2 linked regions of the Sus scrofa genome follow. The protein of the gene in region 1 binds, or shares a complex with, the protein of each later gene. Links are inferred from orthologs where the notes say so. Each region holds a gene or a part of one and is shown on either strand. Other genes may lie near its edges. The genes, in order: MFSD1 and GLMP.

Region 1 (6,426 bases):
TTTTATAACAGACACCCATTTTTAAATGGGAACCCTGCGAACTTCTTGAAGATTATTCAGTAAGTTTAGTTTAAGAGATAATAATGGCTTAAACAAACACATGTCATCAATAAAGCCTCTGGAATCTCCTTAGAAGTCAAGAATTCTGTGATTAGCATTCAGCCTAGGAAATCTGCTGACTTCAGAGGCTGACCAGCACCTCATTTTTACTTCTGTGGAGGGAATGTAGAGAGGGTCAGAAAAACCCAAAGTGAATTATTACTGAAGGACTTGGTGATACACTTTTAATTCATTCTCTCTTTCTTTTTCTGTATCAGGTGGGGCACCATTATTTTTAGTTGCTTTGTTTGCATTGGACAGGTAAGAAAAGCCAAAGCATATTCATTGTGACAGTGGCTTGAATTCTTGTCTAATTTCACTAGATGTGTTTAGTGGAAGCCTAACTTAATTAAGCAGGGTTCACAAATGCCCGGGTAGCACAATGCATAGTCCATTTTAAGCCTTGAGACAGGTGAATGTTAATATTTAAATTTCACGGATTTACTAAGAAAGAATATTAAAACCATTGTAGAATTTGTTTCACCCTAAGTTACTTATTTATCTTAAATTCCTTGAATTAATTTTTCATTGATTCTATGTTATATTCTGTGTTATAGGTTATTTTTGCTCTGGGTGGAATATTTAATGCTTTTTGGCTGATGGAACTTGGAAGGTTTGTGTTTGGGTAAGTTATGCATAATTTCATTTATCCTAACACATTGCTGTTTTCATGTTCATCTGTCAATTTATTAAAGATTTTAAAAAGTATATTATTGTATCCTCTGGAGAATTACTTCAAATCCTTGAAATCTGGCTATATATTTAAGACTATTTAACATTTGTCTCAATTTTCCTTTAAAGTAAGCAGTGATTTTAAGTGGTCACAGTTGACTTTGTGTAGAGTTTGGATACTAAATAGTTCTCAAAAAATAGTATTTTTCTTTGATGTTTTGCTTTTTCATTGTATTGAAGACTGTGATTTAAACCTCACTTGGAAAAGTATAGACCATCAATTTCTGGGTTTGTGAATAATGAACATTTTGCTGTTTCTTAATGAGTAATGTGCAGGTCCTTTTGAAATGCATTGAAGAGGCTTGAATAAGAAAATTACCAAAAGACTGAATGCTTTTAATCAATTTCTGTGTCAAATAAGCCCATTCTTTTCTTTTTTTTTCTCTCTCTCACTCTCTCTTTTTTTTTTACTTTTTAGGCCACACCCACAGCACATGGAGGTTCTTAGGCTAGGTGTCCAGTCAGAGCTATAGTTGTCAGCCTACACCACAGTCACTGCAACGCCAGATCTTTTTTTTTTCTTTTTTTTAAAAATTACTCAGTGAATTTATTACATTTATAGTTGTACAATGATCATCACAATCCAGTTTTATAGGATTTCCATCCCACAACCCCAACGCCTCCCTCCACCCCCCAAACTGTCTCCTTTGGAGACCATAAGGTTTTCAAAGTTTGTGAGTCAGTAAGCAATGCCAGGTATGAGCCTCTTTTGCAGCCTGCACCACAGCCCATGGCAATACCAATTCCCCAACCCACTGAGTGAGGCCCAGGATCAAACCCGCATCCTCATGGATCCGAGTTGGTTTAGTTAACTGCTGAGCCATAACGGGAACTCCAGCAAGCTCATTCTGAGTTCAGTCTTGGGCTTCCTGCCCAGAGGGATGCAGATGACATAACTTGTTTAAGCTTTTCACAGGTATGAGGGACATGTAGACATAGATGACATCCCCTCAGAATGCTCTAAATGAAGGAGAGGGAGAGAGAATGTATATGAAAATATGAAAGGGATTCAGAGATGTGTGGTCAGAAATGGCCTCATGGATGGAGCGGGCCTTTTCATCAGTTTAGGATTTGGATGAGTAGAAGAGGGTTGCGAGGCCAGTGTGATGAGGCCAGCTCAGTATAGGATGCAAAGGAGTTGAAGCTCCTAACTGAAAGTCAGTATATAGAACTTACAGAAGGAAAATAAATCTGAGGAAGTGGGAAAATGTTGAGTAAGGAAGATCTTGGCCTGAAAAGTGTGGATCTTTGTGTTTTCACAAAGTATGGGACACTCTTCCCACGTGAACATTTTATAGAGCATAGATGGTGATGTGGTAGCCCAAACTCCTTTTATTGCCAGTCATGGTTATCCTTGCAGTCTATTAAATGACTCACACTTAGCAGTATAAAACAACCATTACTTTGTGGACTTCGTGGGTCAGGAATTTGGACAGGGAACAGTATGGACAGAGTGTCTGTGCACCTGATGTCTGGAGCTTGGGCTGGGATGACTTGAAGGCTGGTACTGCTGACTGAAGCACCTGAACGTGGCCTGTCTTTGTGGCTTAGCTCTCACATCATAGTGAACTTGAGGTAGTTGGACTTCCTACAAGGTGTCTCAGGACTCTAAGTGCAAATGTTTGAGTGAGAGGGCAGATACCACCTTTTTGCAGATGTCACTTTTTATGGCCCAGCCTTGGGATCACGAAACTCCACTTCCACCATATCCTACTGGTTGAAGCAGTCACAAGCTCACCTTGATAGGAGGGGGTGTCAAAATTTTGAACTTGCTGCATTGCTAACTGTGGCATTTCTTTAAAACCTATGACTTTTCTTTGCTTATTTTAGGATTGGTGGAGAGTCCTTAGCAGTTGCCCAGAATACATATGCTGTGAGTTGGTTTAAAGGCAAAGAATTAAACTTGGTATTTGGACTCCAGCTTAGCATGGCTAGAATTGTAAGTATGACAAACATAATGAAGCCAATAGGAAGGAAAAAACTGAATCTTGTAGTTAATCCTTTAAAGATTATAGGATGAAATGTGTTTGTGTGTAACTTAGGTCTTGATTTTTTATATATTTTTCTGGGCCAGAGTATAGCACTTACCTTATTTTAGTTAAGGCATTTCTAACCTTATTTCTCTTAGGAAACAGACTAAAAAGGCTAGTTAAGCATTAATTAGTTCATCTGAGCATTTGGGAGGACCCATTTTTGGCATTCTTGCTATGAAAATCTTTGCATATGGTCATCTGGGCTCTCCTTGCATATTTCTAGTGATTAGAAGCTTGCTGTGTGTTGAGATGGCTAGTCTACTACAATTTACTTTGTGAAGCTCAGCCTCTCCTAGAGATGAAATCTGCTTGCATAAATTGCTTTTACTAATTGCTCTGACTTTTGCCCTCCAGTGAATGTTTATTTCCTTGCTGTGCACCAGCACTTTGCTTATAAAGACAACTCTGAAGGTCTTTGTCAGACATGCTCCTCCCTGTGATTGTCTAAGCCGTGTCTAAGTTCCTGAACCATGGTGCTCCCACCGCTCTGGACTTCATTGCAAGTGGCCATTACTCACCTTGGAACTTGGAAATGATCATGGCTTTTCATGACAAAGCATACCCAGCAGAACAACATTATGCTATTAATGCAACCTGGAAGGTGTTTTGGCCATCCCAAACTCTCTTAGGTTTTTTTCCCCCTTCTGAATGCCAATGGATAGAGTTTTTTTTTGTTTGTTTTTGTTTTTGTTTTTGTTTTTTAAATCCTTGCAATTAAAAATCGAGGCTCTAAGACTATAGATGGCATGAAAATGCTTGTAACATAGTTTTAAGAAAGAAACTTAGTACAAAAAGGTTTTTTTTCTCAAAAAGTTTTTAGTGTAATGTTTAATCTTATGAAATTTAGCACATATATATTCTCTGTGTGTGCGAACATTTCTATGTTTTTTGTACATGAAGGCTTTTTCTAATTTTCCGCTATTAAAATCAGTGCTGTTTTGTGACACTTTAAAACTTGTCTGTATCTCTGATTGTTTCCTGAGGCTTGGTTGCTAAGAATAGAATTATAACTGAGTCAGAGGGTTTCTTAAGATTGTTAAGACCTATTTCCACCTCATCTTCTCAGAGGTTTACATCCCCATCTGTGGGATATGAGAGTGGATCCTTTTTTATGACAGTTTTGATAGTACAGGCTATTATTAAAAAGTCATATTTAGCAAATTGATAGGAAACACCTAAATAATATTTTAATTTGTAATTCTTTGATAACTAGTGTACTGTTCCACATTTTCTAAATTTTATCCATAAGGACGTTCTGGGTACTTCATTATATATCTTGTGCAAGTCAAGATATGTCTAAGGCAGTTGGTGGGTCTCGTCTAATAACTTCCAAAAGAAGGAAATAGGAGAAGTTGAGCAAGACATTCTCAGTGACAACATTGTGGTTACTAGTGACCTTCAGGTTCTTGCCTGTGTGGTCATTAACTAGCTATAATCCATTCACCTGTGTTCTGAGGAGCCCTAGATTTGGAGAAAGGAATCTCAGGATTTTAGGTTACAGTGGTGGGGTAATGGGAATGGTGAGAGGATGTGGAATGAACCAGACCTCAGGCAACCAACCACCTCTGTGTGTCAAACAGGGCGGTGCAGCTCTGATCTGGTTGGTTCATTGAAGGTCCTTGTAAGATGCATGAGATTCTGGGGTAGGTGGAGTTTCATTCTTTTTTGTACTGCTTCTGCCCCTGAACATATTCAGAATGATGACAGAGGCTTGGGCTTTACCTTGCCAAGCTTTTATTGATGGCTGAGCTGTGGATTTGCCTGATTTTAGGCACCTGAACTGTTACCATTATCCCATCAGGCAGTGGACTTCTCACTGTTATTATTCTTCATGTTTTATCTGGGATTTGGAAGTCCAGCACCCTTCTGATTTTCCTTTGTAATTTGTTACTATAGAAAACTCATTGTTTCAATAAGTATTTGTTGAGACTTGGTAAGCCAGGTCAGGTTAGGCATTTTAGAATTAGAGCGTTATTAAGACAGCATGTCTTTGAGGGGCTTATATTTTCATTGATACTGAGAAAAGTTTCCAGTAGGTCTCCATGTATTCCTTATTGCTCGTCTAAATAATGCCGGATGGCTCACATTTTTGAGAAGTAGCCATGTGAGATTTGCTGCTGTATTTGCTGTGACAGTGTGGTCGAGGACACATTCAGTTCTCGGTCTTCAGTGTCTGATCTATCAATAGTATTTGGCGCAGTTGACACTCCACCTTCCTTGATTTCTTCTCTTGGGTTCCAGGACTCTGCAGTTTCATTGTTCTCCTCTTGCCTTTCTCTCTGCTCCATATACCTCTTTTGTTGGTTCCATCTTAATCTTCTCAGCCTGTAAAGGTGGGCTTGGTCAGTGGAAATTTTCTCTTTTCATTTGGCACTCATTTCCTCGGTAATCTTAATTACTTTTGAAACTTTACATAGACTGTCTTTGTTCCTGGAGTTAAATGGTCCAGGTGTTCCCCAGAATTCCTTACCCCTGTGTGCAGCTCCCTCCTTGCCATTTCTGCTTGGATGTCTAGAAGGCATATCAAACTCAATACAGCCAAAACTTAGCTCCTGGTAGCCTGCTCTCATCCCCTACCTAAGCCTATGCTGACGTTTTTCATCCTCAGTTATGGGCAGTTCTTTACTTCCAGTTACTCAGGCAGAGACTTTGATGTCACCCTAAACTACTCCTTACTGCTCCTGCTCCCACTCTGCATATATTTTCCATTAACAGATCCTCTTAGCTTTACCATTAGATAATACCCATATTCTGAGCACTTCTCACCATGCCCATTGCCCCCAGTCCAAGACTTACATCTCTGTTGGCTGCATTTTTGCAGTAGTCCCCAGCTGATGTCCTTGCTTCTGCTTCCTCCCCACTTGTAGTCTGTTTTGAATATAGTGGCCAGAGTGAGTCTGTTAAAACAAGGGATTGTGCCATGCCTCCACTCAAAAACCCCAGTGGCTTCCCATTTCACACAGACTAAAAGCCGATAGTTCTTATTACCTATAGCCCGCCTTTCTACCAGTTCCTTTTTGGGGACCTCATCTCATTCCCTCCCTTCTTCATTGACACTGTTCTAGTCTCTGTCCTCCTTGCCTCGAGTACACTGAGTGGCCTCCTCTCCGGCCGGTCCTCTTCCCCTGGGCCGGTTCTCTTCCCCTGGGTAGCTTCACAGCTTCCTTCAAGCTGTTAATCCACAGTCACATTTTCAGCGAGTTCTCCACCCCTTCGTATTCTCCTTCCATGCTTTATTTTTTCCCCTTGTTTTTTAAAAGAGCTTACTGCTGTTTAATAGACTACATATTTTACCTCTTTGCTATACCACTAAAAAGGGGTAGCTCTTTATGAGAGCTGGAAGCTTTTCTCTTTTGTTCCTTATTATATTCCCAGTAGCCAGAACAATGACAGGCATATAATTGGGGTTCAGTAACTGCTAAATGAAAGAATCAATGTATGAGGATATTATGTATAATTACTGTCTTCTTAAGGACTATCAGGATGAGGTTTTTTTTTTTTTTCAGGTGTCAATATCAAGAAAAGCTGTGTTTTTCTGAGCTCAGGTTTATATTTGTCTTGG
Region 2 (7,042 bases), on another chromosome or scaffold:
CTACATGTTCGTGGTGGAGCCAGAACGCATGTTCACTGTCTCTGAGAGCCGCCTGGACTACCCCGACCACGCCCGCTCAGCCTTGGATCACAGGCCCCGCCTCTGGGGCTGAGCTGCTCAACTCTTCTGCTCCTACCCCTGCTACCTGGGGGAGCAGAGCGAGGACTGTCCCCTGCTCTCCCAGAGTTGGGGTGCTGCCTTTCATCTTTGGAGCCTGGGATAATTATGAGGTAGGGACTCAGACATTCTTGCAGGGAAAGAGGTGGACAGCCATGTTCCTTAAGGATGCTGAGGGCACAGGCCCAGGCCCAGGCCCAGGAGCAGAGACACAGTCCCTTCCTGAGCAGCCTCCCACCACTGCCACTAGGGCCTGCCATGGCTGGACTCTTCTCCACTGTCCAGCCTCCTCTAAGGCAGCCAGTAGAGCCACAGCCAAAACTTCAACCATTTCTGTGCCAGTTGTCTGAGCCAAGTGCCTCAAGGAGACTGGAAATATTGCCCATGCCTCAAGGTAAAGACTGGGCATCAGATCGAATAGGATTTTCATGTTTGGTGAAAATCTCCCTGGAGGACTGGGTTCAGGACCTTCCACAACCGGCCTTCCCAGGCCCTTAGCCTCAGTCAAATCGATTACAGCTGCTCCAGCCCAGAGTGGCTGCCTCCTCCCTTCCAACCATTTAAGTCCCTGTAACCTCACACCTCCAAACTGTCCAGAAGTCATGCCTCTCCATGGGAAGAGGAGTGGACAGAGAAATCTCCGTCCCAGAATGTGTGTGTGTGTGTGTGCCTGCACCCAAACATTTGGTGGCTGGGGAGCGGATGGAAGGCATAATGGCTGACGTTAACCCCGTGTGAATGTGTGTATAACAATAAACGACTACCACCGCCTTCCTTGACTCTTTCTTCATGTTTGCCCCCCAGTCTCAAGTGTCACTTCCTTGTGTGACTCAGGCTGCACCAGAAACCTCCCAGCTCCACATGCTGCAGAGTGGCTGGCTGGAGCCTGGTCCTGTGGCAGGGGTGAGGACTAGGCCTGGTGAGGAAATGGGGCCACAAATAAGAACTTGCCTTCCACGCCCATCTCCTAGCCCTCTCATTCCCTGGAACTAGCCCCAAACCAGCCCAACAGCACTCACACACTGAGAGATAAGCCCTGTGGAAAAAATTCATCTATTTCATACTCTCCAGGGCAGCAAAGAGTCAGAAGGCCTCTCATCTAGGCCTGTGAGTCCCATTCCAGGGAAATGGGGGGTGGCAGGGTGGGGAGGCAACACCAAGGGGACCCTCCCTCTAGCAATCACTCTGTCCCTGGCCCCTCCTCAGAGTTTGAAGGATGCCCCACCTGGGTCCATAGGAAGTTGAGGCTGGTCTCTGAGGTTCTGCAGGAAAGCAAGAGCAGCTGAAAAGGGAGCAGCTGGCTGGGAATACAGACCTCAAACTTGCAGACTACAAGGCAGGTCCAGTAATGTCCTTCCCTCTAGAGAGCAGGCCTCAATTTATGGACTGGTATTCTGAGTGCCGCTTGTGGCCCAGCATTACAAACAGGCCTCCTGCCAGCAGCATGAGCCCTGGTGCACCCAGGGCCACTGCCATGATGCCCAGGACTAGCGGGGACAAGGCATCCACCGGAGGGGAGCCCACACCCAGGAGCATGGACCTAGAGCAAGCAGAGTGAGAAGGAGAGGTAAGCAGGCTTAGGAGGGAAGGCTGGAGGCCCAGCTCTCCTCCACTTCAGCCTCCCAAACCCTTGGCCCAGGCCCAGACTCTCACCAGCTGAGGTAGTGTTGGTCCCAGTAGCCAGGGCCTGTGGAAGCTCCAAATGTTAGATTGAAGGCACAGAAGTTGTTCTGGGACCCAAAGAAGGCTCGAACAATAGGTGACTGGGGGAGAAGGTATGCCAAGGTGGGGTAAAGAGGGGAAGCTTGGCAGGGCATGGCTGAATCCCGGCTCCCCTGCTTCTGGGAGAAAGCCACTGGTCGCCACTGCACGAAGCCTGATGGGAGGGAGCCCCACAGCAGCTGGTCCAACTGGGGAGAAAGGCAAATAGGCAGGGTGAGGTTGGTGTCTGACCCTTCTGTTCCGCTACCCCTTCCCAGCCTCCATGTCATCAAGTTGTCCTGAGTCCTAGGTCTGGTTCTAGGATTCCCAGGCTGTTTGCACCAATCTCTCCCCTGTAGAAAAGGGAGCTGGACTGGATGGCACTGAGTCCTCTTCCAGCCTCAACCCTCAACAAGCTCTCTCCTCTGGGACCCGAGGCCCTTGCAGATCCCACCTTTCAGAGCACTAGTCACACTGTACCACCTTCTGACTGGCCTCTCTGCTGAGGGCAGAGACTGGACTAAATTCATTACCACAGTGCCCAGTACTTCAAGGAACTGAATAGTGTTGCTAAGTGCAAATGGTTGAATGATTCTCTGAGGTCCTAACTGGATCCCTCTTTGCCTCCCACCCATCCACCTCTCTGCAGGAAGCCTGACCTGGAAGACAGCGGGTGCATATTCATCATCGATGGAGCGCTGCTCCTGCACTGAGGGGCAGTCAGGGCCCTGGCTCAAGGTGGCTACCTCCAGCCCAAACAGGGAGCGGTTTCCCCGGGGAGTGGCCCCAACCAGAGCCACCTCTAGCTGGCAGGTGTCCGCTGTGTGCAGGAGGCGAGGGGGTTGTGCTGGTCGGCCAGATTTGGAGAATGCCTGCACCTAGGATGGAAGAGGCATGGGAGGCGTGGGAAGCAGGCAGATACCTGTGTTTGAAGGCGACCCTCATCAACTCCCACCCTTATCAACCAGCCTTTTGAGTTCTGATTCCCCATACCCTTACCCTGAGGGCCAAGCTGCCATTGGCAAAAGCCCCGGTAGGGTCGTGAATGGGGTGGCCTCGAAATGTGGCACTCAGGGTGGCAGGATCCAATGAATCAGTGATGTTGTTCCAAGAGAACTCAGCCAAGGAATACGGAGGATACGATTTTCTTGGAGGCTTTGTCACTGCATCGGATGTGTTGGTGCTGTCAAATTCAAACAGCTGGCGGGTGGGGGTGAGGAGGGACTGGGCTTGCCAGAGTCCAGGTTTCTCCTGAGTCACCACCCCCCAAGTCACTGCCCCCCACCCCCGGCTCTCATACCTCTATTTCATCTACCCCCAGTCTTCAGTTTCTCTAACTCAAATGAAGTCTCTCCTCTGTACTGATTCCCTTCGGTTTCCCCCAACCTCCTCACCCTGGTAAAGACAACGGCAGAAGAAAATTGGATGCTGTCTTTGGGGAGCACCATCAAGCTCCCTTCAGGGTCAGAGGAGATCAGGAGGCTCCAGTTCACACGCAGGGTGCTGTGGGGGGTATTGGTGGCCACTAGTAGCACTGCTGGGGGCCCTAGGCTGCTCCACACATAGTGCAGTGTGGAGTTGGTACCCACTGCATGGATATGAAGCAGGTTCTGGGGAGGGTCCAGCCCGTCAGAGATGACCTCCAGAGACACCTAGAACATGGAGTAGTGGGAGGGTCAAGGGAACAGGATCAGGGAGAGACACAGGGCAGATGTTTGGGGACAGGGAAGGGGGCTTGGGAAATGATGGGGAAACGGTGGGACCTTGGGGCCTAGGCAAGAGCAATGCTTGTGGGAGCTAAGAGATTCCTGCTGTAAGGAGAGGTGGGTAGAGAAAACGGCCTTGACTCTAGTGGAGAGATAAGGACACAGGGCTGAGAGAAGAAAAAAAAAAAAAAAATCCAATACTTGCCTGGATCTGGCTTACTCAGGGCTAAGTCAGAGTTCAGATTTCCCGGGAAGACAGGAAGCCCTCATACATCCTACTTCTCAATTCTGTCCCATGATCCATGGCTGTCCCCACCCCCAGGGTTGAAGAAACTCTTCTCAATGCAAGCACCCTCCACCCCCACCTCTCGGTTATCCTAGATTCCAACCACCCTTCAAGGCAGCACATCCTGAAACAGGATTGCTCTAGTCCCTCACCTGGCGGGTTTCCTCCCCCAGCAGGCCAAAAGGAGCTGCTGTCAGAAGTAGACTCAGGAGGAGCACGGGGCTGGGGACATAGTGCCCCCAACCCCGGCAGGGCTCCTCACAGCTACCCATGCAGTTCTAACTTCAGAGGGCGGAAGAGACGCTGGGTCATATGACTCAGAGATTCAGCTGATCTCTTTAAAGGGCGGGGCCATCACAGCAGTTCTTAAAGAGACCGCCTCCCTTAACTCAGATTTAGGCTTGCGTGAGAATAGAATCAGAAAGGTTAAGCGGAGAGTTCTCTGATGGCCTAGCGCGTTGAGAATCCTATGTTCTCACTGCTGTGGCTCTGGTTGCTGCTGTGCGGCGTAGGTTCGATCCCTGGCCCAGGAATTTCCGCACACTGACCGTGTGGCAAAAAAGGGAAAAAAAAAAAAAAGTTAAGCATTGTTCATCATCCCCAACTGAGCTGGCAAGCAAGTCATCCTGGCCTAGATTGGCAGACATATTCCCAAATATTCCCAACCTCTCCTACCCAACTGTCCCACTAAACTAAGCTGTAAGTGGGCATGTTGTCTGGATTCAAGATTCAAATGGAATCTGCAAAACGACTCTGAGGCAGGGAAGGCACAGAGGAAATTTGAAGGAATGTGGGGCGGTGGGGGCAGGGGATAGCACACCTCAGAGGGAACTTTTTGTCAATTATTACTATTTACTGAGTTTCCAGGTATGCACATTCTTGTCTGGAAGAGCTCACAATTTTATGGTTGAGAAAAGAAACTTCAGAAAATAGAAAATGAAAGCAGTATTTTTCAAAGGGAGTTGATGTCTGGCTAAACAAATGCTTTTTTTTTTTTTTGTCTTTTTGCCATTTCTTGGGCCACTCCAGCGGCATATGGGAGGTTCCCAGGCTAGGGGTCAAATCAGAGCTGTAGCTGCCGGCCTATGCCAGAGCCACAGCAGCGCAGGATCCAAGCTGAGTCTGCAACCTACACCACAGCTCACAGTCGGATTGTTAACCCACTGAGCAGGGGCAGGGATCGAACCCGCAACCTCATGGTTCCTAGTCAGATTCGTTAACCACTGCGCCACGATGGGAACTCCTGAATGCACTTTTTTTTTTTTTTTTTGTCTTTTGCCTTTTTGTTGTTGTTGTTGTTGTTATTGTTGCTACTTCTTGGGCCGCTCCCGCGGCATATGGAGGTTCCCAGGCTAGGGGTTGAATCGGAGCTGTAGCCACTGGCCTACGCCAGAGCCACACCAACGCGGGATCCGAGCCACGTCTGCAACCTACACCACAGCTCACAGCAACGCCGGATCGTTAACCCACTGAGCAAGGGCAGGGATCGAACCCACAACCTCATGGTTCCTAGTCGGATTCGTTAACCACTGCGCCACGACGGGAACTCCACTGAATGCACTTTTTGATTTGGGTTTTTTTTTTTAGCCTAATCCTAAAATTATTTGACTAAAAATAAATGCACATGGTATAATATTCGTAAGGTACCAAAGGATTATCACCCCTTCTCCTCTGCAACCTGGGTCCTTCCTTGAGACAACCGCTATTACCAGCTTATGTATCCTTCCTAAAAACATTCTATGCAATGCTCAAGCATATATATCTATTGCATACTACATACATATATGTATACACATATACTATGTATCCTGGAATCCAAGTACTGTTCTGCAGTTTGCTCTTTCACTTATATATTGAGGATTGCTCTGTATCAATGCACTTGGAGCTGCCTTATTCTCCAGTCTTTCATTGCAGGGGAAAATGTTCCCTGAATATATTTAGCCAGAGCCTTGATAGTTTGCAACACTTTCTTGTGGCAAAGAACACTGGAAGGAATGTATTTTTATGAACAGCATTTCATACATATTTGCAACCAAATCTATAGGTTAAGTACCCAGGAGTAGAATTGCTCAAATTGCCCTCTATGGGGTTCATCAATTAATACTCACACCATGTTTGAGGGTCCATATCCCCCACATCCTGGAAAGTAAGTGCTTTCTAAAAACTCATTTCCCTGTAAGGTTAAACATTTTATGTTTTAGTCTCTTTTTTAGGGCAGCACTAGCGGCATGCGTAAGTTCCCAGGCTAGAGGTTGAATCTGAGCTGCAGCTACTGGCCTACGCCAGAGCCATAGCAATGCAGGACTTGAGCCTCATTTCCAACCTACACCACAGAAAGGTATGGCTACACCACAGATCTGGCAATCCTTAAACCCACTGAGTGAGGTCAGGGATCAAACTCGCATCCTCATGGATACTGGTCAGACTTATTTTTGCTGCACCACAATGAGAGAACTCCTTTAGTCATTTATTTTCGTTTCTCTGAAGCTATTTTTCTGAGGCCCTATCTTCTTAACTGCGAAGTCCTAAAAGTTCAAGGAAATCAATTTTTGTGTTGTTACAAACATCTTCCTTTTATCTTTTTGCCACGTAAATCTTCTGACATTACACCTATTATTTTTTCTCCACTCTAAGTATATTTTGGGTGTGTGTCTGTCTTTTTTGGGCAGAACCCAGGGCACATGGAAGTTCCCAGGCTAGGGATCAAATTAGAGCGACCTACACCACAGATCATGACGCCGGATCCTTAACCCACTGAGTGAGGCCAGGGATCGAATCTGTGTCCTCATGGATGCTACTCAGATTCGTTTCTGCTGAGCCACGATGGGAACTCCACTAAGCGTGCGTCTGTGTGTCTTTTTGTCTCTTTAGGGCCCCACCTGTGACATATGGAGGTTCCCTGGCTAGGGGTTTAATCAGAACTACAGCTGCCAGCCTACACCACAGCCACAGCAATGCTAGATCTGAGCCCCATCTGCAACCTACACAGCTCATAGCAACACTGGATCCTCAACCCAGAGAGGTCAGGGACCGAACCCACAAGCTCATGGTTCCTGGTTTTGTTTCTGCTGTGCCACGACGGGAACTCCGCACTAAGTATATATATATATATATATATATATATATATATATATTTTATTATTTTTTTTGTCTTTTTTGTTGTTGTTGTTGTTGTTGTTATTGTTGCTATTTCTTGGGCCGCTCCCGCGGCATATGGAGGTTCCCAGGCTAG

Evidence for each region.
Region 2: the proteins of MFSD1 (region 1) and GLMP are in contact, whole or in part, in a cryo-EM structure (PDB 8R8Q), measured with the Mus musculus proteins. The link is inferred for Sus scrofa from reciprocal best matches to the Homo sapiens genes MFSD1 and GLMP. Residues at the interface, in NP_080089.1 of Mus musculus: Val288, Glu292, Lys293, Arg295, Phe349, Phe351, Leu411, Asp412, Lys414, Gly415, Tyr416, Leu417, Leu418, Val421, Ile424, Ser428, Leu432, Val435, Leu439; in NP_064387.1 of Mus musculus: Glu250, Asn252, Ser253, Ile254, Asp255, Asp256, Glu257, Pro260, Ala261, Phe263, Gln264, Arg292, Phe364, Leu367, Val368, Ile371, Met372, Ala375, Ala378, Leu381, Met382, Gly385, Phe389.

Annotation. Positions count from the first base shown.
Region 1 is NC_010455.5:98,596,815-98,603,240, forward strand, and holds part of MFSD1 (major facilitator superfamily domain-containing protein 1), read left to right. Parts: intron 1-317; coding exon 318-360; intron 361-656; coding exon 657-724; intron 725-2,661; coding exon 2,662-2,770; intron 2,771-6,426. UniProt on the Homo sapiens protein: Lysosomal dipeptide uniporter that selectively exports lysine, arginine or histidine-containing dipeptides with a net positive charge from the lysosome lumen into the cytosol.
Region 2 is NC_010446.5:93,756,022-93,763,063, reverse strand, and holds the start of GLMP (glycosylated lysosomal membrane protein), read right to left. Parts: upstream 4,126-7,042; 5' UTR 4,083-4,125; coding exon 3,963-4,082; intron 3,471-3,962; coding exon 3,213-3,470; intron 3,019-3,212; coding exon 2,818-3,018; intron 2,697-2,817; coding exon 2,478-2,696; intron 2,028-2,477; coding exon 1,771-2,027; intron 1,658-1,770; coding exon 1,492-1,657; 3' UTR 113-1,491; coding exon of another isoform or gene 1-112. Other genes in the region: TMEM79 (transmembrane protein 79), read left to right, coding at 1-112. UniProt on the Homo sapiens protein: Required to protect lysosomal transporter MFSD1 from lysosomal proteolysis and for MFSD1 lysosomal localization.